Drosophila melanogaster: one gene and its partner. The protein of the gene in region 1 interacts with the protein of each later gene in a pairwise test. Each region holds a gene or a part of one and is shown in the gene's direction. Other genes may lie near its edges.

The links.
Region 2: the proteins of CG46298 (region 1) and CG16978 interact in a two-hybrid assay, tested with the Drosophila melanogaster proteins (one large-scale study listed by BioGRID).

Annotation. Positions count from the first base shown.
Region 1 is NT_033778.4:10,351,545-10,355,111, forward strand, and holds CG46298 (uncharacterized protein), read left to right. Parts: upstream 1-1,823; 5' UTR 1,824-1,971; coding exon 1,972-2,361; 3' UTR 2,362-2,492; exon of another isoform or gene 2,493-2,561; 3' UTR 2,562-2,845; downstream 2,846-3,567. Other genes in the region: CG46305 (uncharacterized protein), read right to left, coding at 110-181; CG43172 (uncharacterized protein), read right to left, coding at 190-192, 249-314; CG43200 (uncharacterized protein), read right to left, coding at 522-587; CG43178 (uncharacterized protein), read right to left, coding at 989-1,054; CG43171 (uncharacterized protein), read right to left, coding at 1,212-1,283; CG43201 (uncharacterized protein), read right to left, coding at 1,391-1,462; CG12902 (uncharacterized protein), read right to left, coding at 3,494-3,567.
Region 2 is NT_033779.5:13,142,692-13,145,511, reverse strand, and holds CG16978 (uncharacterized protein), read left to right. Parts: upstream 1-1,889; 5' UTR 1,890-1,914; coding exon 1,915-2,205; 3' UTR 2,206-2,298; downstream 2,299-2,820. Other genes in the region: CG9928 (uncharacterized protein), read left to right, coding at 2,647-2,820.

The DNA of each region.
Region 1 (3,567 bases):
TACAGTATGATTGTGACAAATTTCTTTATTCCAAATTCATTTTAAATATAGTTCTCGGGACATCTGGTTTTCGATAAAAGGTCTTAATTTATCCGTGGGTTCCTCCTATTCAGGGTTCACAACGGCGGCATACGAACATGCCAAAAACCATGCCCATCCCAAAGCATATTACATAGGACATGATTGTGTTTACTAAGGAAGGGAATTTGAATATCACAAGATAACGAATGGAATTTACAGAGACTTACGCGGGTATTCTTGGCGATGAGGAAACCAACGATGCCACCAACAACGAATGTTATAAACCGCTGCATATTTTAATGAAACTTGAATTCCCGAGATATTAACGGAAAATTTGTCTTATTTAAGAGCATACAAAACGTACACTTCGTTCTGACTGTCGATGGGAAACTGATTACTTTAATTTGAAGCACATTATTATAATGGAAAAAACCAAGCGTACTTGATTCTATTGTAATTTACCTTCATAATTTTGCTGAAAGAATTTTCTAAAGCGGCTCCTATGTATTCTGCGATATAAGATAACCCACAACGCAGCCAATAATAAAGATTAGAATCCATTCCATTTCCGCCGATAACTTTAATTTTAGGTGTTCGAGCGACCTAAATAGTTCAAAACGAATACGTTATGAGCTGACTTTACTAGAAAAGCCAACTTATTTGATACGGTAATGAATAAGTATTCATGTTTAGCAATGCTTACGAAAATATTGATTACCTTATTGATTAACTTAATGGTCATTGAGAAAATCAATCCCAATTTCCAGTCCCTTTTCTGCCTGCTATGGCACTGAGCTTGCTGCATGCTACATCACTAGCTGTACTGCTTGCAAATCTTCCATTCTCAAGCAATTCTCCAAAAATATAATGAATACGAAAGTTTAAATTTTATTTATTGTTCATTTTAATATATGCAATGTTCCTCATAATTGATTTAAGTTATAATTTTCTTTTTGGGAGCTTAGGCTTAGCACTTTCGGCAGCTCATCATTCCGATAATCACGCCCAAGGCGAAGGATATAACGTGCGTCATTTTGATTTTTTCTTAGGTTTCGAAAGTAAGAAAATGATTTCAAGCGCTTGATACCAAATGTTATCTTCCCAATCAAAATCCAGTCCAGTCGGGATTTTGAATTTCAGGATGGCATAAGATTTCAGGCGAACTTTACCCAAAGATTTCTTGCCTATCCTCAGGTATTCTTGGCCACGACGTATCCCACCAAACAGCCAGCTAGAAATGTAATTACCCAATCTACATCCATTTTATAAAACGAAAGTAGTGGGTTTGGAACTTGTAAAGCCTAAAATAAACTAAAATTGAGTGGTTTGAAAAAGCCTACCACAAATGCAAAGGAGCTCTTACCTTTTTCTAATTATGCTTGCCTATCAAATACCCCACAATACAGCCTACAATAAAAGTGATGAACCACGAGTTATCCATAATTTTCAGCCCTAAAGTATCAGTACTTTTTGTTAGGTCTTTTTGAAAAAATTGTTAATTTAGAATTTTGCACTTTAAAGCGACAATACTATCAATGAAATAGAGACTAAGGAGTTTGATTTTAATTTTAGAAAAATGCATTTTACATAACGTTTTGTTTTTGGCTTTGTTTTTCAGATGTATTAGAAAAAAGGATTGTGACTTTAGCCTAGACATTATAAAGAAGAAGATAGGATGCTTAAAGAAGGATCCATTTTGAAAGGATTGCGGTCGAAGAAAGTACTGGTGTAATCTTAAACCTTAGGCATAATGAGTGTTAGGTTTTATCAAGTAGTTTACGAAATAAACGTCAAATACTTAACTCACATCCAAAGGCAACACAGGCCCCACTGTTCTAAATTTCCCATTCGGCTAACATCATTTTTCTGATTTTTTTTTTGGCGTAAAATTAACACGTTATTAGAGGGACCCTGTGATTGCGCGGACATCTAATCCATAATCCTTTGAAGATGTGCGACAAGCCCGCCTGCCCCCCGCCTCCGCGATGCTGTCCTCCGCCACCGCCTCCCTGTCGCCCGCCGCCCACCTTGTGGCAGAAATTGAACTGCGTTCCGTGCAACCGTTTTGTGTTCTTCATGATCGGGGCGGGCATCGGATTATTCTGGGACCATATGAAGAAGGAGGCCCAGAAGGCGGCCGAGGAGGCCGCGAAATCGCCCAAGGAGAAGGAGAAGGAGGCCAAGGAGCGCGAGAAGAAGCAGAAGGAAAAAGAGAAGGCCGAAAAGGAGAAGGCGGAGAAGGAGAAGAAGGAGAGGGAGAAGAAGGAGAAGGAAAAGAAGGAGAAGGAAAAGAAGGAGAAGGAGGCCAAGGGCAAAGAGAAGGGCAAGGAGGGCAAGTAACGACTATAGACCCCCAAACGGACATGTCAAGGAGCAGGATGTTTTCCCCCAAAATTCTCATCGAATCCATATCGTTTCTAAACTTCAAAATTTTCAAGTGCATTATATGGCATACCTAACGATAACTATTGGTCAGTCCATTGCCGCGTTGATGGAAGGCTTCTTTATTTACTATCTAGTGTCCACCCTTATAATTCCAGATCAAGTAACAAGATCGGATGGGATATTTAACTGGAGAGAGGAAATGCCTTTGCGAAATTTGGATAACCATATCAGGCTTAAAATTATACATCACCCGAAAATTGAAATTTACATTTTGGGTTCGTGATGATTTTGAGATATGATCATGATCTATGTTCTTACCGCTAAGGCTTTCTAATACGTTGATATTCTATTAAAAATTGTACAATGAATACACACCAAATGTATTGCCCTCTGCAAGGACCCAAAATTAGTAAATTTATCTAAAGTTATTCAACAAAAATTTGAGAATATTTGTGGTTGGTCAATCAGACTTTAATTATTATACAAAGCATAAGATTGCAATTTTTAATTGTAATAGGCACTTAGTTATCGGTAAATTCGATGTTCATTTTCATAACTCGTTACTCGTAGTTTCGTTTAAAAGAAAAAGAATTAGAACGCGTTTCTTGATCAAGATCAATAAGGAAGTCGATCAGGTGCTCTGCAAATTTTGTTACAGGACGATTAATGAAATAATCAAATCATGTCACTAAAGTACTATTTACAAACATTTAGCGAACAATTGCTCCCACAGATTTGAATAATGAGCCCATATTAAAAACACAGTAAGTCTTGTACAGCACCAATTTTATAGCATTTTCAACAGAGGAATATATAATAGAGAATAGATCAATCGAATAAACCTGTATTAAATGTGGCAGTTAATTGTTCGATTGACAAATTGCTCTTTAGATAAATTTATCGACTGAGAAATTTCCTCTCCATTCCATTCATCGGCGGACAAACTTATCGAATGGCATTTTGTCTTCCCTGGCTAACGCTGCAAACGGTTGGGTAACTTCATGGGTGATGATGAGTCCAGGTTCAATTAGCTAGTGCCAGGCTTGGATGATTGATATTACCGCCGGGCATGGCAGATCGGTCAGTCCTACTTCTTGGCCTTGCCTTCGTCCTTCTTTTTGCCGCCCGACTTGTCGTCCTTGTTGCGCACGAAGAGCACGC
Region 2 (2,820 bases), on another chromosome or scaffold:
TTGCCATCGCTGCTATTGGACGGTACGCTTTTGACCAGGTCGGGCGTATCGGCTGCCGTTTGGCTAAACAGCCCACGTTTAAACATGGCTCAGAGCGTGCTAATCAAGTGGCTACGAAAACAAAATTACGCGACCGACTGAGCAAAAGCCAGCTTTGACTTTGTCTCGTTTTTCATATATTTGTGGTTACCTTTCCAGGGGGTTCTTCGATTTTTGAAAGAGGTTTGTAACACTGAAAAATATACCCACAAGCTTAAGGTATATATGAAGAAAATTTAAACGATTAGATGTCATTTTTGGTCATAATTAAAATCGAGTTATTTTTACAACTTCAGTATTATCAATGATATTGATCATTGAAGCTTCGAAAAGGGTATTTAGACATTGGCTGAAAAATATTTATTTTCCTCCTCTTTTTTTTGATTGACTTTGGTTTTTATGTTATTTGGTCGCGTTGCGTTGAAGTTGGTTTTGGCTTTGGACTCCGGTGAAGCCAGGGGATTTGGGGCTAGGGCTGGGCCGTCGTTTGGGTACGCTTTGATGGCTTCTAGGTGAAGGTCATTGTGTGACTGAAATGTTAATTTGACTGACTGTCGTACTTTTATGCCGGAGTGCCTGGGCTATTTCAGTTGTATCTTTTTAATGGCACTTGCTAAGGTTCTATACACCTAGAAGTGGGTATTCATGTCGGCTTAAAAACCACTAAACAAAACTCAAAACCAACTTTGATTTGTTGCGCCGCTGGTATGCGGCGATTTTTAAATGACTGACATTTGCTAGCAAGTCGACATAATATACAAAAGCATCAGAAAAAGTTTGAAATTTTTTAAAATATACATTAATTATAGAATTGAAGTTGAGGATATTAAAATAATTAAAAACATATTTGTGGTTATTATTTCAGTTGCCAGCAGAGTTTTTATATTATATAAAGAATTTTCTGAAACGTTTTAGAAATGACTAAAAACGATCCGTGTAACAGCTTACTTTGATTTCAATGGCGCAGTCTTAGACTCCAATGATGGCGATGCAAATGAGCGACATATTTGCAGACAAGTCCACCAGCAATTCGGTGAATGGGCGGGCGTCTGCTTCCCCGGAGGATAATGAGCTGCAGCCCCCGTGAATCGAGTCTGGTGGCCCATCTAATGGTGTTGTTCGCATGGTGGTTAGATGGTTGAATGCTGCAGCTACAGCAGCAACGATTCAGCACCGTTTTGCTGATGCGGCACACTCCAATGCCATAAAAGGGCATTAGCCTCGTGAGTAGATTGCATGTTTTTACCACAGGTTTTCGTGGATGGGCTCCCGTCTTTTGGGGTGGCAAAGTGAGGTTGTACTGGCAGCTGAGTGCGCGCGCTTTGGAAAATTGAATAAAGTGCCGGAGGAGCCAACGAAGGATTGAGGCAACGAAGCGGAGTAAAGTGCTCGATGCTGGCAGCCAAGTCATTTAAGGGTTGCCGGCAGCACTCACATCGGCCTACAAGGAAAGATGAAATACAGTCGCTTTGCTAAGTTTATAATCCCTTATTTAGAGTACATTTTCTGACTACCCAGCTAACTAACACAACTCTAGTAACTGACAGATGATTGGCATGGCCGAGAATTTTCTCAACAGACATAGCAATTATTTGGAATTAATCATAGACTTATTTGCATGACTGTTGATCCGCAAGTGGCAACGTGTCGTATGCGCAATGCTTGCTCTTGCTGGGTCTGCGATGATTCAGAGGGGACTCTAGTACCGCCCAACGCATAAATATGAATGAGGAAATCGAAGCAGCTTGCCACTTGGGCTTAGCCCAGACTGGATTTTCCAGAATTCCATTGAACTTATTACTGACCGACACGATCCATATAAAAACGAAAGAAATTGCATCTGGCTATGCAGTTGCCGGCGGTGCATTGATCAGCATGATGAGCCGCATCATATCATTGCTTCTCCTATTCGGAATCATTTGTGCTGCTCTAATTGCCGGCCATCCGCACGACCTTATTGAAGATCCGGAAGGTACCAATGATGCTTTGGAGGAATCTGGCAGTGGATACAACAGTGCCGAAGAGTTCATGAATGCAATGGACGAGCTGATCAGACGCTGGCAGGAGAACGATGCAGCTCATGAGAACTCAACTGACTATCCAAGTCTTGATGACGATGAGACGACTTTGGATTTTATGGATATTACCACCGAACCGGCTACTTAATATGGAATTATTTAGTAGTGCTGTAATGCTAAGTCATGCTATCCTATTGTCTGTAAATAATCTAGTTCTTCAATAATAATTATTAAGGGAAATAAAAGAAAGTTTTTAGAAATTTTAAAATGAAATCAATCAAGAGAGAATCAAGAGATCTTCATTTTTTGATAATGAATGTTGCCTACTCCGCAATTTCGATTTTAAGTACGCATTAAATACTAGTCATAGATTGAATTTAATAGCTCGTTTAGTATATCAATTAAGCTTGTGGTAAGCTGTGTTGCTGTTAAGCTGGAATTTCCCGCACTCACCTCTGTCTAAAAGTATACATATCACCTTTAAACCAACCACTTAGAACTGCTGATAACCCAGGGCAAGGCTATAAAAGCCCAGCTCAAGAGCCGACTGACATTCAGTCAACTGTAGCCAGAGCTAATCGAAAGAAAAATGCAATCCATTCTCCGACTGCTGGTGCTGTTTGGATTAATCTATACCGCGATCGGTGCATCGGGTATATTTCAGAATATAAACCTCGGTGGCGAAGGAGGAAGAACACGATCTTCAGGTGGCAACTTGGACTGGAGCGATAGTGTTCACAGTTCTGATGACGATAGGACTCTG